Linked DNA regions of Xenopus tropicalis. The protein of the gene in region 1 purifies or fractionates together with the protein of each later gene. This does not show direct contact. Links are inferred from orthologs where the notes say so. Each region holds a gene or a part of one and is shown in the gene's direction. Other genes may lie near its edges.

The links.
Region 2: the proteins of sin3a (region 1) and ogt purify together in Homo sapiens (affinity purification with western blotting; 4 studies listed by BioGRID, with this or other methods). This does not show direct contact. The link is inferred for Xenopus tropicalis from reciprocal best matches to the Homo sapiens genes SIN3A and OGT.
Region 3: the proteins of sin3a (region 1) and chd4 purify together in Homo sapiens (affinity purification with mass spectrometry; 3 studies listed by BioGRID, with this or other methods). This does not show direct contact. The link is inferred for Xenopus tropicalis from reciprocal best matches to the Homo sapiens genes SIN3A and CHD4.
Region 4: the proteins of sin3a (region 1) and nr0b2 purify together in Homo sapiens (affinity purification with western blotting; 3 studies listed by BioGRID). This does not show direct contact. The link is inferred for Xenopus tropicalis from reciprocal best matches to the Homo sapiens genes SIN3A and NR0B2.
Region 5: the proteins of sin3a (region 1) and smarcb1 purify together in Homo sapiens (affinity purification with western blotting; 3 studies listed by BioGRID, with this or other methods). This does not show direct contact. The link is inferred for Xenopus tropicalis from reciprocal best matches to the Homo sapiens genes SIN3A and SMARCB1.
Region 6: the proteins of sin3a (region 1) and brms1l purify together in Homo sapiens (affinity purification with mass spectrometry; 3 studies listed by BioGRID, with this or other methods). This does not show direct contact. The link is inferred for Xenopus tropicalis from reciprocal best matches to the Homo sapiens genes SIN3A and BRMS1L.
Region 7: the proteins of sin3a (region 1) and hdac4 purify together in Homo sapiens (affinity purification with western blotting; 3 studies listed by BioGRID and IntAct, with this or other methods). This does not show direct contact. The link is inferred for Xenopus tropicalis from reciprocal best matches to the Homo sapiens genes SIN3A and HDAC4.

Annotation. Positions count from the first base shown.
Region 1 is NC_030679.2:93,410,632-93,414,935, forward strand, and holds part of sin3a (paired amphipathic helix protein Sin3a), read left to right. Parts: intron 1-316; coding exon 317-555; intron 556-1,149; coding exon 1,150-1,333; intron 1,334-2,468; coding exon 2,469-3,051; intron 3,052-3,704; coding exon 3,705-3,874; intron 3,875-4,304. UniProt on the Homo sapiens protein: Acts as a transcriptional repressor. Corepressor for REST. Interacts with MXI1 to repress MYC responsive genes and antagonize MYC oncogenic activities. Also interacts with MXD1-MAX heterodimers to repress transcription by tethering SIN3A to DNA.
Region 2 is NC_030684.2:44,060,896-44,064,833, reverse strand, and holds part of ogt (UDP-N-acetylglucosamine--peptide N-acetylglucosaminyltransferase 110 kDa subunit), read left to right. Parts: intron 1-860; coding exon 861-977; intron 978-1,389; coding exon 1,390-1,557; intron 1,558-1,909; coding exon 1,910-2,062; intron 2,063-2,518; coding exon 2,519-2,771; intron 2,772-3,938. UniProt on the Homo sapiens protein: Catalyzes the transfer of a single N-acetylglucosamine from UDP-GlcNAc to a serine or threonine residue in cytoplasmic and nuclear proteins resulting in their modification with a beta-linked N-acetylglucosamine (O-GlcNAc).
Region 3 is NC_030683.2:10,064,450-10,068,044, reverse strand, and holds the end of chd4 (chromodomain-helicase-DNA-binding protein 4), read left to right. Parts: coding exon 1-93; intron 94-180; coding exon 181-228; intron 229-319; coding exon 320-451; intron 452-778; coding exon 779-887; intron 888-1,070; coding exon 1,071-1,203; intron 1,204-1,296; coding exon 1,297-1,492; intron 1,493-1,671; coding exon 1,672-1,835; intron 1,836-1,923; coding exon of another isoform or gene 1,924-1,926; coding exon 1,927-1,941; 3' UTR 1,942-2,511; downstream 2,512-3,595. UniProt on the Homo sapiens protein: ATP-dependent chromatin-remodeling factor that binds and distorts nucleosomal DNA. Acts as a component of the histone deacetylase NuRD complex which participates in the remodeling of chromatin.
Region 4 is NC_030681.2:89,464,614-89,469,499, reverse strand, and holds the start of nr0b2 (nuclear receptor subfamily 0 group B member 2), read left to right. Parts: upstream 1-1,831; 5' UTR 1,832-2,856; coding exon 2,857-3,454; intron 3,455-4,886. UniProt on the Homo sapiens protein: Transcriptional regulator that acts as a negative regulator of receptor-dependent signaling pathways. Specifically inhibits transactivation of the nuclear receptor with which it interacts.
Region 5 is NC_030677.2:153,168,063-153,173,124, reverse strand, and holds the start of smarcb1 (SWI/SNF-related matrix-associated actin-dependent regulator of chromatin subfamily B member 1), read left to right. Parts: upstream 1-2,047; 5' UTR 2,048-2,049; coding exon 2,050-2,139; intron 2,140-2,744; coding exon 2,745-2,865; intron 2,866-3,979; coding exon 3,980-4,109; intron 4,110-5,062.
Region 6 is NC_030684.2:108,271,911-108,276,214, forward strand, and holds part of brms1l (breast cancer metastasis-suppressor 1-like protein), read left to right. Parts: intron 1-1,790; coding exon 1,791-1,881; intron 1,882-2,593; coding exon 2,594-2,721; intron 2,722-2,929; coding exon 2,930-3,009; intron 3,010-3,989; coding exon 3,990-4,086; intron 4,087-4,304. UniProt on the Homo sapiens protein: Involved in the histone deacetylase (HDAC1)-dependent transcriptional repression activity. When overexpressed in lung cancer cell line that lacks p53/TP53 expression, inhibits cell growth.
Region 7 is NC_030685.2:60,784,044-60,788,347, reverse strand, and holds part of hdac4 (histone deacetylase 4), read left to right. Parts: intron 1-438; coding exon 439-548; intron 549-690; coding exon 691-807; intron 808-3,418; coding exon 3,419-3,599; intron 3,600-3,679; coding exon 3,680-3,903; intron 3,904-4,304. UniProt on the Homo sapiens protein: Responsible for the deacetylation of lysine residues on the N-terminal part of the core histones (H2A, H2B, H3 and H4).

The DNA of each region.
Region 1 (4,304 bases):
GAAATAAACACACAAACCACTAATTTTAACCATGGTTAGAGATCCAAACGTTCCCTTTTGATACATGAAAGAATTTTTGAATCCTTTATTTCCAGTAGACAGTTGGTACTGTCTGTAATTAAAATTATTGATCTGGTATTCTCCATTAGTTCAGTGCAGAAATCGTTACTTCTACTTTTGGCTTAAAAAAGTTATGTATTTGAATGCACACAAAAAAAAAACACAATTATATGTAATTTTACCACACAACATTTACTGGTACCTATCATTGCCTTCCAGTTAAAAGCAAAATATAATTCTCTGTTACCTTTGTCAGTTGGATGTGGTTTTGGAAACCAACCTGGCTACCATTCGTGTTCTGGAGACTATCCAGAAGAAACTTTCACGGCTTTCTGCAGAGGACCAGGCCAAATTCAGGCTGGACAATACACTTGGAGGAACATCTGAGGTCATCCACCGCAAGGCTCTGCAGAGGATATATGCAGACAAAGCTGCCGATATAATAGATGGTCTAAAGAAAAACCCTGCTGTCGCTGTACCCATTGTTCTAAAGAGGTAAGTGCCTTGCAAATGTGATTTCAAAAGGTCAATAAAATGCTAAACAGAGTTGGATCATATAAGGGCAATAAAATGCTAAGCTGCCTTTGGGGACTTTGGTAAGGACAAGCAGGGGAGCCTGAACTGCTTTGAAATGTCAGGATTTGTCGGGAAATGTCAGGATTTGGGTGGATCAGAGGCAGTGTTAGGTTGAGATTTACCAATATTCAAGTTTCATTTTCTTTTCGCGGTTCAAAAAAAAAAAAATTCAAATTATGTTTTAAAAACCCGAACGTCTGGTATTAAATTTAAAGTTTGGCATCTGAGTTTCTATAGAAGTCAGTGTGAGCCATATTTCAAAACTTGAATTTTTCTATTTTAATATGCAAGTTTATTCGATTTAAAAAACAAACTCAAATGTTGATAAATAAGCCTATGGTTGTCCAGAAGACCAGTTACAATGAGATTTAGAGGTGAAATATATATAATATAATATAATATAAATAAGCCAAAAAGTGAAAATACATTATTTAATTATTTCTGAGTTTTGCATGTAAAATTATGAAATTTCTCTGTTAAATTTTAGCTTTCATTATCTACCCTGTCTTTAAGGTTGAAAATGAAGGAGGAGGAGTGGCGGGAAGCACAACGTGGGTTTAATAAGATCTGGCGGGAACAAAACGAAAAGTACTATCTTAAATCTCTAGATCATCAGGGCATCAATTACAAACAGATTGATACAAAGGTGTTGCGTTCCAAGAGTCTCCTTAATGAGATTGAGAGCATATATGACGAGGTAAGCATCTAAATGCTGATTAGTTGGTCTTGGCAACATCACTGGTATTGTTGGCTTACACACTATAATAAATATGCCCCATAGTGTACTGTTTATACCAGTAACATTTATACACATTTCATAAAAGAGGGAGACTTGCATAATAATCTTGTATGTATGTGGCTCCGTTTATTTCAACATAGCTCTTTAAAATCTGATTAATGAAGTTCTGGAATGTATGGATAAACATTGTATCATTGGACACTTCATCAAAGGATGAAGTGTCCATATGATGAGGTTCCAGTGATGCAAAAGGTGTTTGGAGGAAGGTGCTCTGAGGCAATGGAAAGTACTGCTGTCCTTTTGGTATGGTTGATTTTTTTTTTTTTTTTTATAATAGCTTTGTTAATGTTTACTGTGTGACACTGCCTGCTATTTGTATTATTATTAACATTTATTTATAAAGTGCCAGCATATTCCGCCGCGCTGTACAATACGTTTTATATTGTCTATTTGAGGTGCAGTATTCATTCGGTGTAGGGCTACCATATAATTTCTTTAAAATTAGTTTAATATAGAATCCAAAAGCAGCATGAATGGTTTCTGGATAGCCTGCCTTTTTGGCAGAAACTATTAAACCAGAAAAGGAACATATGAGATCTGGTCTGCTTGTTTGGAGATGTAGCTAAAATTTAGTAATTACTAATTCTCCATTTTCCACATCTTCTGTACATGTGTATTATATACAGGGGTTTACTCAAAACACACAAAGATCCTCTAATGTTTAATTTGGTTTGCTATAATTATATCGTTCAAATTTATTTTCTTTATTGTATGTTTGACAACTTGAAATGTTCTAAAAATGTAAAATTACGTCTTAAAAAGAAACAACAAGATGGAAGTTATATATATATAGTAAACTTTGCATAGGCTATCACTAACAACACAACAAGAAAGTAGTTTGCACTGAGCTGTGTGATACATTACATTATTGACATTCTGTCACTACATTTCATGGATTTTTTTTGTTTTTCACAATAGCAGCTGTTTGTAGCTTTTTAATTTTTTAGCAGTCAGTTCAGCTCTTTTAACCATTCTGTAATCGTATTCTGTTGAGCAAATTAACAGTTGGTTCTTCGCTATAATTCTTCTTCAGCGGCAGGAACAAGCTTCAGAAGACAATTCTGGGATCTCTTCTGGCCCACACCTCACACTCACTTATGATGACAAACAGATACTGGAAGATGCAGCCTCACTTATCATCCACCATGTAAAACGACAGACTGGCATACAAAAGGAGGACAAATATAAGATAAAACAGATTGTCTATCACTTCATCCCAGATTTACTTTTTTCCCAGCGGGGAGAGCTCTCTGATGTAGAGGAAGAAGAAGAGGAAGAAACAGCTGAGACTGAAGATGGGGTTACAAAAAAACATAATGGAGTGGGGGTTGGTGGGGGTAGTAGTCCTCCAAAGGCTAAGCTGATGTTTGGAAATACAGCAGCACAGAAGTGGCGCGGTGTGGAGGATGCATACAACCTTTTTTATGTGAACAATAACTGGTACATATTCCTTCGCCTACATCAGATACTATGCTCCCGACTTCTTCGCATCTACAACCAGGCAGAAAAACAAGTGGAGGAAGAGATGAGAGAAAGGGAATGGGAAAGAGAGGTACTGGGTCTGAAGAGGGACAAAAATGACAGCCCAGCTATCCAACTGCGATTAAAAGAACCAAGTAAGTAAACAGAAATGTTACTATAAAGTAGAATATTTTTATATAATTTAAAACATGCATTTTTTTCTCCTGAGCATCTGGAATTATGATTAGCTATGCAAAGTATCTACCAGTAATAGCCTCCTGACTACTTTCCCTCTCTCTGTTGTTTTCTCTTTTACCATCCGCCTCCAACTTCTTTTATGTTGATTTATTCTTTAAACTGTCATCAACAATACTGTACAAACAGGGCGTGTATCCCCTTAAAAATGTTATCTATACTTGAGCTGTGGGACTGACACAGCCTGCTCTTCAAGTGGAGGACACAGTACTGTCGCAGACAGTGGCATGACCACACTGTACTTTTGCCTGGAGCCACTGCAAACCACAACGCCACACTGTGAGCATCCATAGAAGAAACTGTGCATTCAGATACACTCGCAAATGTTTCTTTCAGTTGAGATATGGACTAGCATAACATTTCCTTTATGTGGATCAGTGGCCAAGTCACACTGTACATAACCTTAAGGGGACCTGTCTATAACTTATGGTTCCTTGGTGCTCTCCAGTGGGGAAGAGAAATATATAATCTGTATCCAGAGATTTAAAAAAACCTGTTTACAAAAGATACATTGGGTTTTGTGGTTAAGCACACTTTTTCTATCCTCCCTTAGTGGACATAGAGGCTGAGGATTATTACCCAGCATTCCTAGACATGGTTCGGAACTTGCTTGATGGGAACATGGACTCCAATCAGTATGAAGATTCTCTGCGAGAGATGTTTACTATCCATGCCTTTATTGCCTTTACTATGGATAAGTTGATTCAGAGCATTGTTAGACAGGTGAGTTTGATATATCCTGACTAGTTTATCATTGAACAATTGCATGGTGTTATTATAACAATTTAGCATCTCTTGGAAGAACCTATAGGTATTCACTAAAGTGGTTTGAACTGTTATTCCTTTAAGATGTGATTAATGGGTCTCATGCCCCAGACAGATCACAGGTAGTTTGACCACATGTGTGAAAATACACTTTCATGGGTTCTTTCTCCACAATGCAGCGTTTTGTGATGAACTCTTCACTCGTGTTGCTAGTACTATGGGTTTGTTGGCTCTTATGGCTTTGCCACCCAGCTGTGGCTTTAGCCAGGATTCCCACTGTGCTCCAGAGCATTTTCACATTGCTGGTCTAACTACTTTTTCCAGATCCAGCCTGAAGAATCATGGTTAATAACTGATTTCATATTTACTGCCCAGTTATGAATCTAGA
Region 2 (3,938 bases), on another chromosome or scaffold:
GAGAGACCATTCGGAGAGCATACATTTCCAAGGGAAAACAGGCCCCTCAATCGATCAGGGCCCATTCCACCAGATCTGTCAGTACCTCTTGGGCGTTCAGAAACCAGGCCTCAGCTGAGCAGCTGTGCAAGGCTGCCACGTGGACCTCCATCCATTCCTTCGTTAAGTTCTACAAATTTGACGCATTTGCTGCATCTGACGCACGCTTTGGACGCAAGGTGCTGCAAGCAGCGGCAGTCTAACTCCGACTCCGCTTCCTGCCCACCGCTCATTATGCTCAGGGGACTGCTTTGGTATGTCCCCACTGTCCCTGTGTCCCCCAAGCTATTGTGTGAGAAAAGGAGATTTTGTGATACTCACCGTTAAATCTCTTTCTCCTCAATGGCTTGGGGGACACAGGGCTCCCCTCCCCGGAAGCGGAATCCTCTTTGCGCCATCTGCCATGTTTTTATGTTACATTGTTATAACGGTTTGTTTATGGTTACTTTGGTTACCTCTTTGTTAGACAAAACTGAGCCTCTCTGGGCTGCGCTGTGGGGTATAGCTGAAGGGGAGGAGCATTCCTTTTTTTTATTAATTCCTACCTAGTGTCCTGCCTCCTGCAGGTGGAGCTATACCCACTGTCCCTGTGTCCCCCAAGCCATTGAGGAGAAAGAGATTTAACGGTGAGTATCACAAAATCTCCTTTTTTATTTTTTTAGTAGTTGTTTGTAAAGTATGGAAGGCATTTCTAAGAATACGACTACTACTAAAAAAATAAAACGTTTTTTAATTTTTTTAGTAGTAGTCGTATTCTTAGAAATGCCTTCCATACTTTACAAACAGTCTTTAATCAACTAAACTAAATCTTGTTTCCCCAGAAAAAAGCTGTCATAGACTTTAAATCCAATGGCCATATTTATGACAATAGAATCGTACTCAATGGAATTGATCTGAAAGCTTTCCTGGAATCTTTACCTGATGTGAAAATTGTAAAGGTGAGAGTTAACTTTAGATTTTTATCAAGCACCATTCTTTGCTTTTATGGAAAAACTATTTTAATTGCATTTAATGTACTTTACCATGTTGAGGAAGTCCAAATGTAAATCCTGATGTGTGAAATGTTCTGTAAGGTCTGTATTGCCTTCTATTGATTATGTCCTTACCTTGCCTTTTAAGTGAATATAGCCATATTATGATAGCGGGGGAGGTAGTGGTCAGGTATGGCATAAAAACAGTAGTTGTGGGTACCAAGAGATTGTATAAACTAGAATGTTTATAATATGACCCTAATTCAAAAGTTTGACATTTAGCTGCCCATAGTATAGGATATTGCTATTTTTGAGGTATAGTTGTTTTCTTTGCCTCCTTGCTTTCTTAAAAAAAAATTTTTTTCCCCCCTTCCAAAAGATGAAAGGCCCAGACAGCGGAGATAATGTTGACAATAACTCTGCACTAAACATGCCAGTGATTCCTATGAGCAGCATAGCAGAAGCTGTGATTGAAATGATAAATCGGGGGCAAATTCAGATAACAATAAATGGATTCAACATCAGCAATGGTCTTGCAACAACCCAGGTAAATTTAACAAAGTGATGTGGAATGTAATATAAATGATGGCTAAATATATAGTATAAGTATAATGTTCTTACCTATAAGTGTGGATCTGCTTCAAAAAGAAGCAAGCCTGGAATTTGAGTCATTGTATAGCTTATTCTGATTATGAACACCACTCCGTGTGTTTACAACTTGGACTATTGGTGTTCATTTAATTGTTAAAGTGTTCCCAGTGAAGGCTGAGGCTGACTGCTGTCAGAGTGGGGTTCTGATTTGTTGAACCGGAAGTTACTTTACTTATTATTTTCTAATTAAAACAATAGGCAAAAAATGTTGAAAAAGATGGCATAACAAAGTGATTTGAATATTTTAGATAAATAACAAAGCGGCGACAGGTGAAGAAGTGCCTCGTACCATCATTGTCACCACACGCTCACAGTATGGACTCCCTGAGGATGCGGTTGTGTACTGCAACTTTAACCAGCTTTACAAGATTGACCCTTCCACATTACAGATGTGGGCAAATGTAAGTATATTGTGTTATACAACTGCCATCAATTAAGGTTCTGTTTTATACCTTTTGGTTAGTGAAAGGCACAGCTAGGGGAAAATAACAGCATTTTTGGCCAAACCCTTGTGTGTAGGTTGTCTAGTGTATGTATCGGGTAAATGTAGCCTCAAAGAGCAATTGTTTTTTGACCACAAGGGTCAGCAACACCCACACCCTGTGGATTTACTTAATGCCAAATATATGTACTATGTTGGATCACATTTTGATCAAACTTGCTATACAGGAAGAGCAGATTCTATCTAGATGTGTTGCTGATAGCTTGCCATACCTTACAGTGATACATCATTATCATGTTTTCTCAGTAAATGGTGACAGGGATGTCATGTGACACTTTATCTAAACACAGTCAACTATTTCTTATCCTTATGCACTGCTTAACATCTTCCATTTGAAACTTTTTGTTTGTCCTAGATTTTAAAGCGTGTCCCAAACAGTGTTCTGTGGCTATTAAGATTCCCAGCAGTTGGGGAGCCAAATATCCAGCAGTACGCACAGAATATGGGCCTTCCCCAGTCCCGGATCATTTTCTCTCCAGTTGCTCCTAAGGAAGAACATGTGCGCAGAGGACAGTTGGCTGATGTTTGCTTAGATACACCTCTCTGCAATGGGCACACCACTGGCATGGATGTGCTCTGGGCAGGAACACCCATGGTCACCATGCCAGGTAAAGAGTCTGCAGAAAGTTTCTTTATGCAACAAAAATTAGTATTGTTTTAGGTAATTTAAGTTTTGGTGTGACAGATATTTAATTGTAGCTGTTAGTTATATGTCTCAAGAAGTCTATGAAGATTTTCATTCATCCAGGTCATGGTATATCTAGTATAAATAAATTTGAAGCAACTGGACTTGTTTGGTAATCATTGAAGACGTTTCACTACTCATCCGAGCAGCTTCTTCAGTTCAAGAAGTAAACATGCAGTTGGTGTTAAGCCAGTTAAATTGTATCTGCTGCAACCAGCATTCATACGCATACTGCAGTTCTGTGGTACCCAACTTCATATATACATGCTTATTGACCATTTTAATTATGAAACTTGTATGGTTTTTATATTTCAGTTTTAGCCTTATACATGACTGTGTTTCTAAGTTCCTCCTGGTTCTTGTTAGATTACAATTGCCTGTATACTGTATACTCCCTGCATAATAGGATTCTGCCCGTGTGGAAGCCAGCAAAGGATTTGGCTGTTTATATTATTTCATGTTAAACTAACTCAGTTTATTGCGCGAGAGGTGACCTGTTGCTTTATAATAATAAATTAGTAATGAAAAGATTAGACAGAATGTATTTTCCTCTGAAAGGGCATCTATTGCCTAAAATATTTTCTTTTCCCACCAGTGGTGCAGGTTAACAGAGCATGTGCTCCAGAAACAAAAGGATTTTTGAATGGGTGCTCTGACTCCTACACCGGAAGGAAGCTTGCGGTGGGGGTGACCAAGTTGGGGCACATACATGCACCCCAGTTTACTTGTTATGCCCCCCCTCCCCATCACATGCATAATAAATGAGCTGGGGCATTTACTTTATTTTAAACATGCACGTTCCCCCAGCATGCACCTGGGTCTGCACCCAGAGCTGGGCCCAAAGCTCTCTGTATGTGAGATTAAATAGAAAAATACTATATCCCTCATCTGTAGTAAGGGCTGTGCTTTAAATCTAGGTATAATAACCAGGGCTGTGGAGTCGGAGGCAATTTTGGGTACCTGGAGTCGGAGTCGGCAAAAAATGAACCGACTCTGACTCCCACTAAATTTAAATGGGAATAAAAAAAAAAATAAAGCAAGTTTAAATGTCCCAATTCACAAACAGTCATAATTAATGACTTCTCTGCTA
Region 3 (3,595 bases), on another chromosome or scaffold:
AGAAGAAAGAAGAACCAGTAAAACAAGAGAAAACCTCGCCACCTCCGCCACCACCACCACCAGCTACTGAGCCCATGGAAACAGACCAGAAACGTAAGTGGCCTTCATTTTATTGCCTGAAGCGGTAGTTTTGCGATACTGAAGCACTGCTCACACTCCTTTTTCCTGTTTTTATTACAGCAGAGCCTGAGAAGGTAGATGAGGTGATCACTTTGGATGACAAGAAAGGTGAGTAAAGTACTAAGCAGCCATGCTTAACTTGTAAATGGTTCTACAGTCCATGTGTAACCTTGGTTTTCATGTATGGCCTGTTTTACAGATGATGTACAGGAAGTCACTCTTCAGAATGGTGAGACACCCAAAGAGACAGCTGAGGAGAAAACCAAGAAAGCGTCAGCTGCTGCTGCAAAACAGAGGTTCATGTTCAACATTGCAGATGGTGGCTTTACAGGTAATGTGGGCAGCGGAAGGCACAGGGCTGCTAAAAACTGGATGTTTCTTTAGTACAGACTGTAATGAATAGGGATTCACATTCAGTATATTATTATTAACATTTATATATAAAGCGCCAACATATTCCACAGCGCTGTACAATAAGTATATAATGGAAACATAAACTCTGGGAAGAATGGGATTGAGATATAATATATTCAGATTACAAGGGACAAAGGAGATCTTTGTTTTGGGATGACTAAATAGTGTAATGTAAGGGGCAAAGCTATATCTTGCAGGAGAATTGTAATGTAGCTCTGGAAACTCATGTGGTGTTTTCCTCCAGAACTGCACTCCTTGTGGCAGAACGAAGAGAGAGCAGCCACAGTTACAAAGAAGACCTATGAGATCTGGCACAGAAGGCATGACTATTGGCTGTTGTCAGGAATCATAACGTATCCTTTTGGTCTGGTGTTGCTATGCACACAGTTTGTGTTTCAGCCCATTGATGTGTCTGGTTAAGTTTTTTGTGACAACATACAGCCTTGTATATAATGAGGGCTGGGTATAATGTTTGAATGTTTAGCTGTCTGGCACTTTCATATCACTGCCCACACTTTTCCTGAGCATCGCAACAGCCATGGATATGCACGCTGGCAGGACATCCAGAACGACGTGCGGTATGCCATCCTCAATGAACCCTTCAAGGGAGAGGTGAACAGGGGCAACTTTTTGGAGATCAAGAACAAATTTTTGGCTCGTAGATTTAAGGTTTGTCAGAAATCAGTTACTTTAATGCTTTATTATATTCTCTCCCTTAAGCTGTTCTATCAATCTAACTCCCCCTACCCTTTCTATCTATAGCTTTTGGAACAGGCTCTTGTAATAGAGGAGCAGCTCAGGCGAGCAGCATACTTGAATATGTCCGAGGACCCCTCCCATCCATCTATGGCTCTGAACACAAGATTTGCTGAAGTTGAGTGCTTGGCAGAGAGTCACCAGCACCTCTCCAAGGAGTCAATGGCAGGGAACAAACCAGCAAATGCAGTGCTACACAAAGGTACAGATGCCTTTTTTCTCTTTCTATTGACTTTGTATATCCCTTTGTCTAAGGCTACTCACGTACACTACCGGCCAGCAATAAAATAAGTTGCTATAAAAAAAAAAAATTTATGCCCTGCATTGGGCAAAAATGGTAGAAAAACTCCAGCATTTGTTTCATTTGATGTCTCTCCTTAGTCTTGAAGCAGTTGGAGGAACTTCTAAGCGACATGAAGGCAGATGTCACCCGTCTCCCAGCCACCATCGCCCGAATCCCTCCCGTGGCCGTGCGATTACAGATGTCAGAGAGGAACATTCTGAGCCGGCTGGCAAGCAGAGGAGGCGAGCCTCAACCCCAGCAGGTAAATGCTCAGTGCTGCGTCATTGGTCTTGTACCCTATTTTCACCACTTGACTGTACAATAATGGTCTTGCCTTTCTTTCTGTCCAGCAGATAACTCAGCAATAACATAAACCCCTCCTCTGGTCAGGAGGTCGGAGCATCTACCCCACCTCAAACATTCCCAACCAGAAGCAGAGACCTGGGTGTAGGCACTGGACATGCCACCAAATCATATCCTGGGGAAAAGACTCAGCAGAGCTGAAAGCGAGCCCCGGATGATAAGCAAAGGATACATGTCACAGGAGGATCCTGGAACTGCAAGGTGTCACTGTGACTGCACAAGCCTAAAGGCAGATCATATTGGTGCTGCTGCTTCGCATTGGGGTCCACCCCTTCCTTGGGGGGCAGGGTTCAGGGTCACATCAAACACCCCAAAGGCCAGAAACTCTCCCTGTGCGTAGGAGCAAGTTGCTTCCTGAATTCAGAAGGAAATACTTTGGTTTTTTTTTTTTTTTTTGGTTTTTTTTTTTTGTTTGTCTTTAATTTTATTTGCTCCAGTCCCTCCCTCCCCCCCCCCCCCCACACACTGCCTGGGGGCCCAAAGGGGTGTCACCTAAAAGGACAGGCACCCTACCTCCATTCTTTTTAATACAGAACGCTTTGTCGTATAATAAAACACAAAATACTATTCTGAAAGAGACTGTGCTGTGCTCTCTGACGATGGGGTGACAGCCACGTGGGCAGCACTTAAGGGCTGTGTGATTTGTGCCAGGTTTGCCAGTGGGGGGGGGGGCTGTACCATCTCAACTGGCAACAAGGTGGTTTTAAACACACAGATCCATTGTTCTGGAGGTTTGAAATGGGTTACCTCTGGTATTACCTATTTTCCAGAGAGGTAAGTTATCAGTTTTAGAACTGTTTCTTTTTACTAGTAATTGTTGCATATATGAGCTTCCTATAACTCCTAATATTCCTGTTATTTTATTTCTGAGCAACAGTTTGTTGCAGTGTTTTGGGATAACCAGTTTGTATGAGTAAATAAATGGTGGATTTACTTGCACATATTGTTAGTGGCTGACCGTGGCCCTTTCACTGCCCTGCTCTCTAGCACCAACCAAAAGAAATCTGCAAGGCCTGCGGGGGGAAAGGGGGGGTGGGATGAACATTTAAAGGGGAAACTGGCACAAATGGAAACTAATTAAGTTGCAAGAGTGCTGGTCACAAAGTCAAAATGTCTGCAAGCGGCTAATTCTATTCCACAGATGCAAATGGAATAAATAAATATATATAATACAAGGTGTAGCATATGTAACCAAAAGGACTTGATCAATTTGGTATATTGACTCTGTAAATGATGGTGTCTTAAGGTGGGCGATATCGGGCCAATTTGATCATTTGGCCATTTAAATGGCGGGTATAAGGTCCATTGGACAGAGGACTCTATCAACAAGCTGATGTGGTCCCCGATCCAACGGAAAATCAGACCTGCCCAATCGAGATCTGGCCAATTTTAGGCATCGGTCGGGTAGTCCCATTGGGGTTTCCATACACAAGATAAGCTGCCAGATTGGTCTAAAGGAATCGAATTGGGAGCTGAAATCTGCCTGTGTATGGCCATTTTAAGGGCGAAGGGACGTGGTGATTGGTCGCCGCAATAGGTTTTTTTTTAAAAGAAGCCCCGAGTAATCGCTGTGTGTGTCTTCGCCCTAAATGTCTGTGACTGAGGTGAGGCAAGCAGCATGGAAGTCCCTGCTCATTTGTTTGAAGGGGCACTGAATAA
Region 4 (4,886 bases), on another chromosome or scaffold:
CATGTGTAACTTTGGTGTACAAAAATAACTTTGTCTCTGTATAGTTAGGGGGGGTTACGGCACATAATACGCTGTCAGGGGGCTCTGTGTGCAAAAGCTGAGTTGGCAGGCGAGAAATCCATATGCGCTATTTTAATTTTGGGTTCAGTACACACCACAGACTTTGGTATATCTATGCATATTGGGCATCAAACTGTTCAGTTGACCTTAGGTGTTCCTATTTGGGGTGAATTGCCTTTGTATGCAAGAAATTGTGTGAGATAAATGCAGCAAACTGCAACATTTTTATGCGATTTTCTCAAATGTCATAAAACCACTAACTTTAGGAAAGCTTTGCAGATTGGTACTTTGGTGTAGAAAGGACTCTTTACTCATGTTAGATTTGTCAGAATGTGTACTTTCCAAAAATATAAGGTTTTCTGGGGGTCTCTGTATAGTTAGGGGGTGATACGGCACATAATATGCTGTCAGGGGGCTCTGTGTGCAAAAGCTGAGTTGGCGAGAAATCCTTATGCACTATTTTCTTTTTGGGGTCAGTACACACCACAGACTTTGGTATATCTATGCATATTGGGCATCAAACTGTTCAGTAGACCTATGGTGTTCCTATTTGAGGGAAAATCACTTGAGGTGATTTTTGGAAATGCCATAAAAATCGTCAAACTTAGGAAAGCTTCGCGGCTTGGTACTTTGGAGTAGAAAGACATGGGTACCCATTTTAGATTCGGGGGAAAGTGTACTTTCCAAAAATATATGACTTTCTGGGGTGAGCATATGTTTTACTAGCGTTATCCCACATATAATGATGTAAATGTGTTGATTTTGCAGAAGCTGAAATGATAGATCATATGGGGGTATGTTCACATTGGGGCCCCTATATGCCACATACTTAGGTAAACCTATACATATTGGGCATCAAACTGTTCAGTGGACCCCTGGACCCCTCTTGGTACCTAATGATAAGTGGGAGATAAGATGCTGGAAACTGGAAGCTTTGAGTGGCTTTTTCAAAATTTCCAACTTTAGGAAAGCTTTGCGGCTTGGTACTTTAGAGTAGAAGACACGGGTACCCATTTTAGATTCGGGGGAATGTGTACTTTCCAAAAATATATGATTTTCTGGGGTGAATGTACTTTTTACTAGCTTTATCCCACATATAATGATGTAAGTGTTGATTTTGCAGAAGCTGAAATGACAAATGATTGATCATATGGGGGTATGTTCCCATTGGGGCCCCTACATGCCAAATACTTAGGTAAACCTATACATATTGGACATCAAACTGTAAAAACAATAACTTTAGGAAAGCATTGCAACTTGGTAGTTTGGAGTAGACAGACAGTTGTGCCTATTCTGGATTCCCCAGAATCTGTTCTTTCTAAAAATGTATAGTTTTCTGGGATAAACCTTCTGTTAGTGGAATTTTGGCCTTAAATACTAAAAAGTATTCAGCTTTCTGGAGCAGTGCTTTGGAAATTTGGTAGTGTACTGCTGGGAGTTTTTGACCTACAGTATACAACTGAGAAATCTCCATAAAACTATATATATTTGGTATTGGCACGTTCAGGAGACATGGGACTTTCCAAATCAGTTGTATTTTCATGCATAAAATACTTTTTGTTTCTGGTGTATGTGTTTATATTATGGAAAATATTTTTTTTTCATTTTTTAGACATTTAGAAGCCTATATCTTGTTACAGAATCGGAATTACACAAAAATTCTACCATATTTTAGCCATCCTGAAAAAAACAATATATTGTTTTCCCGAGGAAAGGCCCCTAAAGTGAAACAGTGCAAAATGTTCAAAAACTGTATGGCAGTAGAAGTTCCACTTTGTCAAAAACGGCTGGCAGTGAAAGGGTTAACAAGTATTAAACAACCTGATAAGAATGGACTGAAGAGGTTATTTTTAGTTTCTGAGGCTACAGTATCAATGCATGTAGGAGTGTGTAATCATGCTGATATTGCAAGCTTCAGGAAGAAAAGCATTTTTAAATCTAGTGGTGTAAGTACTCTGTGCTAGGCCCCCTGCAAAACAAAAATCGTTAGAAGGGCACAGCACAGAGTAGCAAACGTACCCTTCCCGACCACGTGTCATCCCTACACGTCATCCCTACACTATGACGCATTCCCTGCCCCCTCCTGCACTTGTCTGTCAATTCTTGCCCCCGCCTGATTCCTACCTAGAAGGCGCTGCTGTGCCTATTGACGCAGGGGAACCCTGGAGCTACTGCCACCTCCTGACAAGGCATTAGCTTCAGGATTCTTCAGTGCTCTGAACCAATAGGCACAGCACAACTGCATCAAGAGAATCGCTGTTTGCGCACTGTGGGAAACAAATATGGCGGTGCACTTTGCACACTGCATCTAGGTAAGTGAATGCACCCTTCAAATAAAGTCATTCTGTGCTGTTTTAAAAAAAAAGCTGATAAATGGCTTTATCGTGTCAAATTAAATTTTATATTGTGATTTTTCAAGGACAAGCTAAAAACATAGAATTGCCACTGTAAATGTATCACAGTTGGCAGCTTGGTAAGTGTCCTTGATATCATGGCACTGCTTTCCACCATATCACAGTGACAGGGAACGGTAAACAACACTTTACTCATTGTTCAGTTCCTATCAGTAACCAGCTCCCTCATTCAGATAATTCCAGCTCCTTTAGATACTGTGGGCTAAACCACGCCTTGCTCAGTTGTGAATGAAAACAGTCTAGTAGGAATAAAGTTCAAGGGAATTTTAGCACACGCAGTCACATTACTGTTCAACTTGCTGAGTATATAAAAGATCCAATCACCTACTAGTTTGGCAGAACTACTGCTTTTCTTTATGTGTGAGGCACTGTATATCGGCTCATGTGTTTATCCCCCAGTGTATGCAACACGGAAATGGCTTGCATATCTGAAAAGTTAGGAAAATGTCACTGTAACAGAGATCCAGTTAACAGTATTCTTTTTCAGATGCTTAACAAAGGGATTCATTCAGAGACTAAGAGCCCAAATGACAACCGCAGTCACATCTGCTCCTTGGCTAGAGAATGCCCTTGTGAAGGCAACAGAAGAGTGTCTCTGAAGAACCCTGAGGTGACTTGCAAGACAGCATCAGAAGTACTACTAAAAACTGTGGCATTCATTAGAAATGTACCATCCTTCTATCAGCTGCCCCAGGAGGATCAGATTCTTCTTGTACAGAACTGCTGGGCTCCACTTTTTGTTTTAGGTCTTGCCCAGGAAAGGGTGAATTTTGAACTACAAGAACATTCTGTTCCCAGTTTATTAAAGAAAATTCTTCTAAATCAGTATGCGAATGTCAGTGACATTGCACTGAGATCTGATAGAGGAGTTCCAGCAATAGAAGTTCAAAGAATTCAGCGGTTTCTATACAAACTCTGGAACTTAGACATCAGCACAAAGGAATATGCTTACCTCAAAGGGATGCTTCTGTTCAACCCAGGTAAGATGGTTCACATTTAAATTTACTTTTAGTATGATGTAGAGAGTGATATTCTAAAACAATTTGAAATTGGTCTTTATTTTTTATTGTTTGTGGTTTTTTGGAGTTATTTGGCTTCTTATTTTGCAGCTTTCCAGTTTGCCATTTCAGCAGTCTGGTTGCCAGGGCCCAAATTACCCTAGCAACCCTGCACTTATTTGAATGAAAGACTGGAATACAAATACAGTAGGTGAGGGTCTGAATAGAAAGGTTAGTGATAAAATGTAGCAATAACAATAAATTTGTAGCCTTAAAGAGCATTCGTTTTTTAGATGGGGTCTGGGACACCCATTTGAAAGCTGGAAATATTCAGAAGAATAAGATAAACAAAGAAAAAATAAAGGGCAATTGAAAAGTTGCTTAGAATTGGCCATTCTATAACATACTAAAAGTTAACTAAAAGGTGAACCACCCCTTTAAAGAGATGTTCAGAAAGTCTATGTCTTGTGCATCTGTTTTTTTGGGCTCACTTCTGCCCCTGTCCATGGTAACCCTTGCTCACTTCAGAAATTTTCTTTTAAACGCTTAAAGAGTGAGAAATATATATTTTTAAAAAATGACTTATCTTTTAGTTTTGGCCTCCATTATTCTCACCTCTATCACCAGTGCCTGGTGGTTAAATATACTGCGATTTATAACCAAATTTGAAGTGTTTTAAGTGAACACATACTTATACAGACCTATATATACACTCACATATATAAACAATATATAACAATATCTATACTAATTCTAGATTTATAGTATCAAAATAAACTTTGATATTAAGCTAATGTGGAAAATCATCCAAGCCCCAAGGCAGTAACAGAATCTGCCATCACAACATCACCTGGCAGGACATTTCACAACCTCACTGCCCTCACCTTAAAGAACAACCTACGCTGCTTAAAATTCAAATGAAAATTCCTCTAAACCAGTGGTTCTCAACCTTCCTAATGCCGCAACCCTTTAATACAGTTCCTCATGTTGTGGTGACTATAAAATTATTCCTAAGACCATTGGAAATATGTGTTTTCCGAATGTCTTAGGCGACCCCTGTGAAAAGGTCGTTCGACCCCCAAAGGGGTCCCGACCCACAGGTTGAGAACCGCTGCTCTAAGCTAAAGGAGTAGCCTCTACTGAATATATATAATAGGATGTCGAACTGGCTTTAGGTTCAATCTTTCAATGGTTCGGTCAAGCTACTGGATATAACTATAAGTAACTAGTAATAGGGGAACTTTCACATACTCAAAATGTAGTTAAGCTTCATCTCATGGAAATAATAAATATTCTAAGAATAATCAATTTAAAATTCTGTACCTATTTCTGAAATAATCAAATTACACTTCATTATCCTCCTCTTAGCAGTCGGTGTCATTATTGATTATCTTTCGAAAGTTTCTTACTTCCA
Region 5 (5,062 bases), on another chromosome or scaffold:
TGCAGCAGGAATGTTGGCCTTTCCACAAGCCATTCCTATTGTTGCCGGTGGAAAGGCATTTCAGAGCAGTTAAGTCATCCCCGGTAGCAGAGATTTATCCCGGGCGACTACATCACTCCATAGAACATTAGCCTTATATTTACAGAAAACAGCAGACCTAAAGGACCCTAGGCAAGCACCAAGTCATGACCATTGGGTGGTAATAGTATGAGTGAGATGACAAAAATGTGGAATGATTAGCAGACCACCTAAGTGCACAGCTTTTGTTGTATTATCTCTTTAGTTTTAGCGATATGGTTCATTTAAAAACTGTAATGCAGATTGGCATTCTCTGTATTTCCTATGATATTTAGCACTCTCACCGGCAAGTAAAATCTGAGGAATGGCTAAAGGACCTTGGTTTTGTATACTGTAAAGAATTAATCCTGCAAATAGAAAACACAAATGTCCTATCCTACTTTCAAGACTGTATAATCAATTTGCAAGTAGAACAAAGAGTTTTAAAGCCAAGGAATTTGGGTCAGGAGAAATAAAACCTATATTAGTTTGTGCATGTGTGCATGAAAAATTATGGCATTCACTTATTGCTGTGCTAGTGGCCGGCCTTTTCTCAGCCAGCAGAGAAGTGCCAAAATCCTTGAAAGGATCCTGGGCTATTTCATCCAAATTAATGTTTCCATTAATATTAATTACATGCTTCTCATCTGGTTTAGGTGTTTCACAGCCAGCTGAAAATACTATGTAAAATGAAATATCCAGGATTGGATCATTATCTTATCTTATAACCTGAGGTCAGTTGGCATCTCTGCAGAACAATGTTCCCTATAAGCAGTGCGCTCACACACAACAATTTTGTATTTATTTTTACCTGAGCAGTTTTTAAAAACGTGCACACAAGTTTAAAATGTATGCACACAAGTTTTTTGCACACAAAGCCAAAAAGTAATGAGGGAACGTTGCAGCAGGTCTATTTCATAGCCCTTAATTGCTTGTTAGGGCAGGGTTGGACTGGGGCGGCCGGGGGCCCAATGGGACTGCCACCTGGGGACCCTCCATCCCAGTTGCGACATCAAACCCCGTCCCCCTACTGCATTTTCTCCTTACAACTGTGATAAAAGGACTGTGGGCCAGCACCTAGTTATAGGAGGGAGCAAAACTGGGTCAGGACAGCCTACAAGGGCCAGGGCCCTGCCGATCCAGTCCATACTCGGTTTGAGGGCTGCCAATGGCCTATTGTTGAGTGGTGTAACTACTACCCCATGGGCATGGTTGCAAACTTTGCACCAAGGTCCCTCTCAAGACATGAGCTGCCGTGCATACTAAACATATCATTAAAGGAACAGTAACATCAAAATATGAAAGTGTATTAAAGTAATTACAATATAATGCACTGTTACCCTGCACTGGTATAACTGGTGTGTTTGCCTCAGAAAGACTATTATAGTTTATATAAGCAAAGCTGCTGTGTAGCCATTCGAATGAAAAAAGGCACAGGTTACTTAGCAGATAACAGATCAAATGCCATTGTATTCTACACAGTTTGTTATCTGCTATGTAACCTGTGCCTTTTCTCCTTTTTTCCAGCTTGAATGGCTGCCCCCGGGGCTACACAGCAGCTTATTTATATAAACTATAGGAGCGTTCTGTAGCAAATACACCAGTTTTACCAGTGCAGGGCAACAGTACATTACATTTTAATTACTTTAAAACACTTTCATATTTTGGTGTTACTGTTCCTTTAAACGTTAATGTCCACTGTGGGTTTCGGGTTCCAAAATATTAAAAGGCCGGTATTTTTTTTTCTAGAAAAAGTGGCAACCCTTGGCTGATCTTTAGTATTTCCGCACTAATAAAAATACTAAGTAAAACTATTTTACGAAGCCGCTACTTTAGTCAGCGTACAACCAAACTACGCCCGCAGGCAGCTATAAGTTGTGCGCTGAAACGCCGCGCATGCGCTTTATGCAGTTCCCTTGACGCCTGCGCTTCGTGTACTACGTAGTTGGCACATGCGCTGTTCGGTGGGCCCGGTGTTGGAACGGAGGCAGGATGATCATGGCGTTAAGTAAAACGTTTGGCCAAAAGCCAGTGAAATTTCAATTGGAAGAGGATGGAGAATACTACATGATAGGATCCGAGGTACGAGTCCAGGGCAAACGTTAAACATCTCCGCTGAAGCTGCGTAATACAAACGTGGGGGAGAAAGGGGTTTGGGACAAAGGATTCCTTCTTTGTTACAGGCACTGTTGTGGGCGAGACCAAGGTTTCTGTAAATCTTCATGCGTGTAAAAGAAAAAAACCAAAACAATAACAAAAGGGGGGCGGGTTATTAGTTAGATAAAAAAGAGTGGTATATCCAACCGGCGGGCCCTTGTTTCACTACAGCTCTCATCACTCCCAGAATGAAGGAAGTGCTAGTAGTTTTAAAGCAGCTAGACCTACAAGTTGAACGCACTGGTGAAGGGAGAGGTGGCCAATGGGGGATGAATTTGAAAGTGCAGCTGACTGGTTAGAAGTGCAGCAACAGAAAGCATGAGGTAAACAAAACATCTGTAATAGAAATAGGCTGCAACTCCTACCTTTCCCCTAAATCCTCCTTTCTGGAGGCCTGCTGTGTTGTGTAGCGCCTCATTGTATGCTGTCACTTCAAGGTGTACACATTATATTTGGGTCTGTGACCAAATTTTGCAGCCTGAAAACGTATTATTGTTTTGACTCTTAAATACTTTGTCTTTTATTTACAGGTGGGAAATTACTTGCGCATGTTCAGGGGATCATTATATAAACGGTACCCTTCCCTTTGGAGACGGTTGGCAACAGTAGAAGAGAGGAAGAAAATAGTAGCGTCTTCTCATGGAAAGAAATGTAAATATTAGTAGTTTTTTTTACCTGGTTTGTCTGGTGAAAGAACAGCTTGGATTAAGTTGAATGCACCAGTTGTCTATGGCAGCCCTGGGATTTCCGAATTTTTACCTGTACTATCTGGATTTGCAAGTCTACTATCTCCAATGGTGCTTTGTTCTAGAACCTTATAACCCAAATACTTGCTTCCGTGGGATATTTCTGGCCTCTGTGGAACACATTACATTACATTAACATTTATTTATAAAGTGCCAACATATTCCTCAGCGCTGTACAATAAGTGGGTTACATACATTGGACATAAAGAGTAACATATAAAGCAATCAGTAACCGATACAAGAGGTGAAGAGGGCCCTGCCCAAAAGAGCTTACAATCTACAAGCACCTGCATAGCTTTCACTACCGACTCCAAGGATGCCCCGCAACTGCAAATACCCTCTCTACCTTAAATTACTGGGCCATCCCCCACCACTATTATTCCCCGGCTACCATTGTGGGGAAACATATATTTGATATCTCCAGGATTTTTTCCTGGAATCATCACAGGCTCAAATACCTAGGTGGCCACATTATAAATACCATCTATTCAACATATATTTTACAACAAAAATATCAACTACCTCATTTGCCCTTCTACAGATTCTTTTAGTTGCGACGTGCTTTCAATTTACAACTTTTAACCTATACCTCAGACCTTGTACATCTAGTATTGAGAACATAACTCGGATAGGTCCAGGCTGGTTTCATCTGGTGGGATGTGCCAGCTGGACACATCCTGTTCTGTTGCACAATGGTCTGTTGAAACCCACCCCAACCTGTCATGCATGCTCAGACAGTTGGGCTGAAGGGTCCAGATCTGCCAACCAAAGCTGGCCATGCTAGGACAGCTTTACAGAATTCAAAATTCACAAAAATGTAAACCATTTCAGATTGTCTAAGAATACCTAATCTAAGCTATTTTCAACCAGCTTTTGGCAATTAACATTGTTTCTACTATAATTTTAAGATGACCTCCCTTAGTTTGCCACATTCATAATTTCTTGTTTTAATGTAACCGAACTACTTTAAGTATAAAGTTTTTAAACCTTTTACATATTGCTGTTTTCTTCCTCCTTAGATCATGGATATACCACTTTAGCTACCAGTGTTACTCTCTTAAAAGCTTCAGAAGTTGAAGAGATCCTTGATGGGAATGATGAGAAATATAAAGCAGTCTCTATTAGCACAGAACCACCAACCTACCTCAGGTGAGTGAGGCACACATTTGAGGTTTTTAGTCATATGAAACATTTGGGAACCCCTCTCAGCCTGCATAATAGTTTACTCCACTTTTAACAAAAAAGATAACAGTGGTATGTCTTTCATTTCCTAGGAACATCTGAGTACTGGGGTGTAATCTGAACAAAGATTTTTAGTGAAGCAGTATTTAGTTGTATGAAATTAAATCATGCACTGGCTGTGCAAAAATTTGGGTACCCTTGTAATTTTGCTAATTTGAATGCATGTAACTGCTCAATACTTATTACTGGCAACACCAAATCGGTTAGCTCGTTAAGCCTTGAACTTCATAGGCAGGTGTGTCCAATCATGAGAAAAGGTATTTAAGGTGGCCAATTGCAAGTTGTGCTTCTGTTAGAGTCTCCTCTGAAGAGTGACAGTGTGGTTTAGGGAAAGGCTACAGAAAGCCATCTCAGAGGTTTAAACTGTCAGTTTCAACTGAAAGGAATGTAATCAGGAAATGGAAGGCCACAGGCACAGTTGCTGTAAAACCCAGATCTGGCAGGCCAAGAAGAATACAGGAGTGGCATATGCAGAGGCTTGGGAGAATGGTAACAGACAACCCAAAGATCACCTCCAAAGACCTGCAAGAACATCTTGCTGTAGATGGTGAATCTGTACATCGTTATACAATTCATACATCTGTATGGCAGGGTGATGAGAAAGAAGCCCTTTCTGCACTCATGCCAAAAACAGTCACTTGTTGTATGCAAAAGCTCATTTAGACAAGTCACAGTCATTTTGGAACAAAATGCTTTGGACTGATGAGACAAAAATTATTTGGTCATAACAAAAAGAACACTGTCAAATTTGGTGGAGGTTCCATCATGCTGTGGGGCTGTGTGGCTAGTTCAGCGACTGGGGCCCTTGTTACAGTCAAGGGTCAGATGAATTCATCCCAATAACAACAAATTCTTCAGGA
Region 6 (4,304 bases), on another chromosome or scaffold:
CCCCCCCCCCCCTTGCATAATGGACTCCTGCTAACAAAACAGGTATAGTGGTGAATGGAGAGGATTATATGGTGGTAATCTAATTATCTACTTCACAAAGACCAAACATGGAGTAGGCTCAATCTCTCTGTTTGCCTGTTTAACTCAAGAAAAAACAAAATCATAGATTTTTCTGTAACTAAAACAATAGGAAAAAATATCTTTGTCACAAGCCAAAATTATTGTACTCACATTGAACCAAGGAGATATACTGCCCCTTTAAAGCAACTTCTACCATGGTGAATATTTGATAACATTCTCTTGCTTGTGATGGTACTTTTAAAAGTATATTTATTTTTGTTGTGTAGCCAATTCTCTACAGCAGTGCTGTCCAACTTTTGTGGTACCAAGGGCCATAATTTTTCCGGCCTACATGGTGGAGGGCCGATAATGGAAGCCAGTTTTGACCAGTCCCCTTTTTAAAACCACACCCACTTGAAACCACACCTATGTTATTGCATGGCCATAGCCATATTAACGGTGATAGCACAGCAAAAACCTGCCATACTCTGCCTTCCCTACCCTGCCTGTGTATGCCATACTCTGCCTGCCCTACCTTGCCTGTGTGTGCCATACTCTGCCTGCCCTACCTTGCCTGTGTGTGCCATACTCTGCCTGCCCTACCTTGCCTGTGTGTGCCATACTCTGCCTGCCCTACCTTGCCTGTGTGTGCCATACTCTGCCTGCCCTACCCTGCCTGTGTGTGCCATACTCTGCCTTCCCTACCCTGCCTGTGTACCATACTCTGCCTGCCCTATGCTGCCTGTGTGCCATACTCTGCCTGCCCTACCCTGCCTGTGTGTGCCATACTCTGCCTGCCCTACCCTGCCTGTGTGTGCCATACTCTACCTGCCCTATGCTGCCTGTGTGTATGGCACACACAGGCAGCATACAGTGACACAAACAGGTGTGGGGCCACACAGAGGGGGGTCGCGTGCCGCCAGTTGGACAGCACTGCTCTACAGTATTAGATCATTAGACTACTTTGGATATAGTGCTTTGACCATTCTTGTTTAAAGGAGAAGGAAAGGCTAATAAAGTGTTAATCTCAAGCTGCAGGCATACCTTCAGTTGTCTCAATAGTGCCCTTAAGTCTCCCCATACTTCACCTGTTCAGAAGATCAGAAGCCAAACAGGAAAAAAAAACGCTGAGCAGGGTAGAGAAGATTCTCATAATGCATCGCTCCTTCCCAGACTTGGCGACTTGTTACCTTAGGCGGCGCATGCGCACACAGCAGGAGCGTCTGGTTGCCATGGCGACGCAGCGACAGAGAACTCTGACATGCAGGTGGGGGGAGCGGGGGTGCGAGTGCGGGGAGCGGCGGAGGGTTTGTGGCAGGAGCGGGGAGCGGCGGGGAATGGGGGTGGGTGAGTATATCTCTTCCTGACAGTGCAGCGTTGTATGGCAGATGCGAGTAGCCGCCAAGCTGCGAGCGGGGGGGGGGGGGGGGTGCTGCCGGCGGAGGATGATCTCTGACATGCTATGGGGGGGGTTTGTGGCAGGTGAGCGGTGAACGGAGCGGAGGACACTGTGACATGCTGTGGGGTGGGGGGGGACACTCTGTGACATGCTGGACAAGATGGCGGCGCCGTTCACTGAAACAAGTATGTAGGTTCTAGTATGTGTATCTCTGTAAATGTTTCATTGGGCAAGCCAGAAATATAGTGTTTTTACACAGCAATAGTAGTACTATTTAATCGTGTGCTTAATAGATTTTGACTTTCCTAGTCCTTTAATTCTTATCTTGCAGAGATGGATGATGAAGACTGTGAAAGACGCAGAATGGAATGTTTGGACGAAATGTCTAACCTTGAAAAACAGTTTACAGATCTCAAAGATCAGTAAGTAGGCACTTGTGGCAGTTGTCACAGGATGGATATTGCGGTATAAATGCCATAAAGAGAACCTCCTCCTACTCAGTGATTTAATATAAAACTGTCTTTGTATCTGTTTGGTCTTCTTTACAAATGCAAAGTCCAGCAACTTACTGATATTGGTCTGTCCGCAGTCATGTCAGTCATTGTGCCTGATTCTGAGCTTTCGGAAGGAGCCAGTGCTACATGTTAGAACTGCTTTCAGATAACCCATTGTTTCTCCTACTCCCATGTAACTGGAGGAGTCCCAAGCTGGACTTGGATTTTTTACTCTTGAGTGCTATTTTGATATCTATACGAAAAAACGAAAAAACAGCAACGAAAAAGTCGCAACATTTTAGTTTCCAATCCGATTTTTTTTCCCATTCAGATTCATGGATTAGTAAATGTGCCCCTTAGAATTTGGTAAGGAGACAAAATTGAAAGCATGTCCTGACTGGTACGCTTTGGATTCTGGCAAATGCCAGAGGGGCTGCTTGTAAGATACCATAAATAGTGAATGTTTGGTGGGGGGGGGGGGGGGGATTGTTTGACCCTTTGTGTACTTGAAATGCCAGGGCCTATTTTGGATCCCAGTCCAGATTGAAACTATTTGTTCTAAGGCACAGCATTATGCAGCTTATGTACTGTCACATGTACTATTAGCGAATTGACCTTCGCTTGTTATTGTTATTTCTAGACTTTACAAGGAGAGGTTGAGCCAAGTGGATGCCAAACTGCAGGAGGTAATAGCAGGCAAAGCACCAGAATATCTGGAACCCCTTGCAAATTTACAGGAAAACATGCAGATCAGAACTAAAGTGGCAGGTATGAAAACTCATCATTGGTGAGGGCAAGAGGAGCTGACTATGATCAAAATGGCTGGTACTCCTGTGTGGTGGTGTTTCTCGTGTGTGTGTGTGTGCGCGTGATTTTGTATGTGTTATTTCTGCATATTATTTTTTTTTTTTTTAAAGAACTCTAAGTGGATATCTATGTATAACAATGCAAGATAAAATGTTTCCTTTTTTTTAAGGAATATATCGTGAGCTGTGCCTAGAGTCTGTGAAGAACAAACATGACTGTGAAATTCAAGCAGCACGCCAACACTGTGAGGTACACATTCTTTAGATAAAATGTATGTAATTAACATTTTGCAGCAGAAATACTTTCTTGGAACATAGTGAGTTTCTGTGGGCTTACAAGTTTGCTTTCCATGTTGAGTTTGGAGGCCTTTGCCATCAGGGCCATGTAAATGTTTTGCATTCCCAGAGAAGCTATTGCTGCGGTGCCTGGTTATAAAACGTTTATCCATTTATATTAACTTCACATTCCTTCAAAATTGTATATCAAGAACCAACAAAAGAATGTTTTTTAAATGTTTAATAAGCCCAATGCCTGTTTAACTTCCTTTACATTAGGGAGTATTTTAGGTGCCATTTTAAAGTTGCAGAACAATCTCCAGATATGCCCACTTGTGACACCTTTACAGTTAAGCTGCCTTTTATGGCATTGTATTTAATCTGAATCACTGGCAGTAATGCATTTAAATCGATTGCCATTGTATTTTCACATGATTCAAATGTTTTACCAGCAGGGATTCAAATTGACTTCAGTACATGCTGAGGTTATTTAGCACTGGTGACAAAATATCACATATGCCATCACTCTTGGTGCCACCATGTGCAGTCACCTTTAGGGATTGCTTTTTTTAATACTTTGTATTGCATTTACAGTATAACTGAATTTTACATTTCCCAGTGGACTACTTCAAAACAATGTAAATTCTGAGGAAAACATAAAATTCAGAAAGGAGAAAGCGCAGTTTGCCTGTGTGTGACCAGGAAAAATATTGCCCATTCCAGGAAAATATGAAATCTGTGTTCTACTCAATTTAGTTAAGCAAAACAAAATATAGCCATGATGCAGAACTGTATTAGACTTCTCTATGGCATCATGAGATTTAGATTGTTACATTTATACTGCAGTAGAACTAAATGCTCAGCCAGCAAAAAAAAAAAAAAAATCTGCACGTTTTTGCTAAAAAAACAAAAACACTTGGTAAATAATAAACTATGCATCAAACTTCATTTCAGAGTGAAAAGCTGTTGCTTTATGACACCGTTCAGAGTGAACTGGAAGAGAAAATACGTAGACTGGAAGAAGATCGCCACAGTATTGATATTACCTCTGGTAAATGGAAATGCGTAGTTTCTTTATCTATATTTTGAGTAGATGGGGGGGGGGGGGGAAATGTAAAAACAGTATTAAATGTGGATTTAAATGTATTTATATTTAGGGCTCTGGCACACGGGGAGATTAGTCGCCCGCGACAAATCTCCCTTGTCACGGGCGACTAATCTCCCCGAACTACCATCCCACCTGCAAAAATGTAAGTCGCCGGTGGGATG
Region 7 (4,304 bases), on another chromosome or scaffold:
CAACCTAAAGATGCACACTGTATGAGGCTGGTTTCTTGTTTCAAGTTGTGTTGGGATAACTAGAAGTTACGGGGTCCCAATCATGCAAACCTTCAAAAATGATTTGTTTTGCGAACATTTGAAATTCTGTTATTCGGTAAAAAGACCCCCTTTAGGCCCTCTCTTCTTATTTTTTCTTCCCAGCAACATCTGCATCTATTGCTATTAACTTTTCACACATTACTTAAGCACCACAAATGCTAATCCAATTATGGATTTTAGAAAACAAATGCATATGATGTGGTTTGAGTTTTTTGTACTATAAATAAGACAGTGTTTCTGCTGTGTAAAATGATGACCAGTGTACCTATAGGTATCAAATTCAAGCATCCTAGGCAACAGGCCCTGTTTATTTAGCAAAATGAGCACATACTAATTTTTTTTTTTTTTTCTGTATAGATTCTGCATGTAACAGTGCTCCAGGCTCTGGTCCAAGCTCTCCAAACAATAGTTCAAGTAACATCAGTTCAGAAAATGGCATAGCTGGTCCTTTAGGAATCCAGACAGAGGTAACTGGGGAAAAACACTTTTATTTGATGTGAAATAACATATTGATTATATACTGCCGTTTCTCTGTTTTATGTTTCTGATATTCTTTATCAATATGTTTCCTTCTTGTTTTTTTCAATTTATCTATACATTTTACTTCAGGCTTCACTGGCTCACAGACTTGCGAACAGGGAGAACTCAGTATCGCAGCTCCCTCTATACACATCACCCTCTTTACCCAATATTACGCTAGGACTGCCTGCTAGTGGTTCTACCAATGTAAGTACACCTGTCTCAAAGGATTCTGGAATAACAAATATTAGTGGTGGGTAGAGACTTGGTCTACTATGGGGAGGAAATGAAATGTACAAAAGACAAAAGTACAGTTTAAAAATCATATTAAACCTGGTAGCCAGAGAATAATTGCTTGGTGAGGCTACAATTTTGTTGTTGTTTTTACTTTTTTAAAATATTTGTTGTATTTAATTTGATTTTTTTAACCTTCCAGGCTCTCATTTAAACCACTGCCTCCTTACTAGGGTCTTGTAGGTTCTCATTCAAACATCTGCCTAGTATGATAAACTGTACCTACCCAAGCAACCAGCTAGCTGTTGAATTTCCAGACTGGAGAATCTAAATAATTTAAATCACAAAAAATTGCAAACAGTGTATTGTCCTCTACAGACAGTTGTATCCACCACTAAATTAAAAAAAATAGTCTTACTTAGAATAGAACTTTAATTTTCAATTAAAATAACTGTGGGTATGTGCATGACAGTTTACTCCATATCAGCCTGGTGATTTGAAAATACATGTATGACCTAATTCCTTTGAGCCTATTTAGTTCTATGCTGACTATATAATTTTTGATGGTGGCCCTCAACTAATGTTGTCTTTAATTTTTTTTTTTTTAAAGGTCAATTTTTTTTATTGTTTTATAATACAAAAACAAAACATTGATATACGTATAGGTTCCAGGTCTATAAAATGTACAATCATTGGAATAAGTATAGTTTAAGTGCAGGTTATAGCAAGTACAAAGTGGTACAGAGAAAAATAGCATCCTGAGTACAACCATGGTGACCAGATACATTTAAATTTGTTCTGGGGAGCCCTGACCCCTGAGGTAAGCTTTATAAGTGGTATCGCCTTATTGACTAGTTGTTGCCATGAGAGGACACTAGGTGAGGTAGCTCCCACCCAGTGCATCGCAATATCTTTCTTAGCATAGTGTAGCAATGACCAGTACCTCTTGCGAGCATAGTTGGTTGGAATGATATCATCTAAGATAGATACCCAGAAGGCAAATTTTAGTTGACATTATGTGAGGGAACTCAAAATCATTTGCATGATGGCATAATGTTTTGCCTGAAGAGTTGGCTATTGGTGGACATACCCATATCATATGGAAGAAGTTTGCATTTGTTTGTCCACACCTAGGACAGGAATCATCCATCATTTTCCCAATTTTAAGGAGTAAAATGGGGGTAATGTAGGTTTGGTGTAGAATTTTATACTGGACGAGTTTATCTCTGGTGGATATTAAGAAGTTGTAGCAATTCTCTGTTGCTTCCTCCCAGTCCTCATGGGTTATGTCTGGTATTACCTGGGTCCATTGGTCCCTTGCAAGGGCAAAGGGTTGCGGGACTAAGTTTAGTATGGTTTGGTATAACCTCAAGATCATTTTGGAGTTGTCTGGTGAGTGAAAGGTCTCTTCTAGTGGAGTGATGCAGATTGCTGGTTGGAGAGATGAAAATTGGGCCTTGAATGCGTGCCTGAGTTGTAGATATTGGTAGAGTGGATTATGATGTTGGGTGTATTTTTTGGGAGATGTCTTGGTAGGTGGGGAAATTTGTGTCTAGGGTAAGATCCCCAAGGTATTTCAATCCTATTTGAGGCCAAAAAATGAAATTTTGGAGTTGTCTGAAAGAGTCTAGGTGCGAGTAGCCCCACAGGGGGAGTTTAGGGAAGAGCAGTGGCGGAGGGTTGCCCAGGAGCTTAATAGCCATTTGCCATGCTTTGTATGGGCTGACAAGTGTGGGGAGCAGAGGGCCAATGCCGTTTATGTGGCGATATGGGAAGTTTTGAAGCCCAGCTATGGATTCCAAAGGAAGTGATTGTAAAAGCCAATTTGGATTGTGTGGATCTGGGAGGAAGTACCAATGTAGGTAATACAGTTGCGAGGCACAATAGTACAAGTACAGGTTTGGGAGGGCTAAGCCTCCATCACTGTATGGGGCAGTCAGCTTTCCCCAGGCCATTCTTGGTGATTTATTGTTCCATATGGAAGGTATTAGAATTTTATTTATTTGCTTGAAGAAGTTTTTGGGAAGTACCGTGGGTGAGTTAAGAAGGGTGTATAGAAATTTGGCTAGGTATATCATTTTGAACATGTTGATAAGGCCCCATAGAGTGAGAGGGAGTTTGGAGCAATGTGTGAAGTCATCGGTCATGGATCTGATAATTGGTTGGAGGTTCAATTGAGCATATTGGGTAGTGTCCTGGTGGATCACAATGCCCAGGTACTTGAAGGAAGTTACCCATTTCAGGGGGTAAGTCTGGCAGGGGGAAGTAGTCTATGGGAAACAGGAGGGATTTGTCCCAGTTAATGTTGTCTTTAATTTTTGATCAAGCCTTGTAGTGTAGGTAGATTGTGATCTGCCAAATTATTTTTAGGGAATACGCAACTATTTTTATATAATTTGTTTGAAACTAATTGGTATTTAAAGAAGAACTGAGCATGAAAATGTAAAGTTCATTTTAGAGTGAACCTTCTTTTAAATATGGAAAAGCATACCTCCCTTAGTAGCTATGTTACCTGTGTTTTTCCTACCATGGGATCACAGTTTGGAATAAAAATGTTTTCTTAACTACCCATGTCACTTTTTAGGGTGGATCAGGACAGGAAAACGAATGCCTTCCTCTGCCTGCTCTACAACAACGGCTTTCCCTGTTTCCAGCTGCTCACCTCACTTCTTACCTTGGACCTGAGGCCACAAGCTCTCATAATCAGCTCTTACAGCATATGGTACTACTAGAACAGCCTGGTGCGCAGAGTTCATTGATATCAGGTAAAGCATAGGAGGCCTAAAACTGTGCGTATTTTAACTGTTTAGTACTGACTGATATTGAATGGTGTTATTTCTTTTAGGTTTGGGGACCCTACCACTTCACTCCCAGTCTCTTGTGTCACCTGATCGTGTATCCCCTACCATGCACAAGTTACGTCAGCACCGTCCTTTAGGTCGTACTCAATCTGCTCCACTCCCACAGAATTCACATGCCCTGCAACACCTGGTCATCCAACAACAGCACCAGCAATTCCTGGAGAAGCACAAACAGCAATTCCAGCAGCAGCAGCTTCACCTAAACAAGGTGTGTTCCTTATATTCCTTATATTTATATCAGATATTCAGCATCAGGGAGAATTTAGATCCGTATAATGTAATAGTCATTTCACATAGCACACTCCATCAAATCATTATCATATGACTTTGTTGTTGATGTTATATATGGACCATTATCTTATCAGTTGCCGCTTGTTCTGTTGCACTTAATGCCTGGTATTGTCTGTGTGGGTTGAATTACTGCATCACTCCACTTAGGTCACTTATGACTCATTTCCATGAAGTCAACAAAAACCACAGGCATTCTGTTGGGACTTCATATCATTATAATTGTTATCAAGTATCACTGTACAGCAGAAGGGTATATACATCAAACATACTAATTACATACACATACTGACTGAAACAGTGGGAGGTAATGCGTGCTCT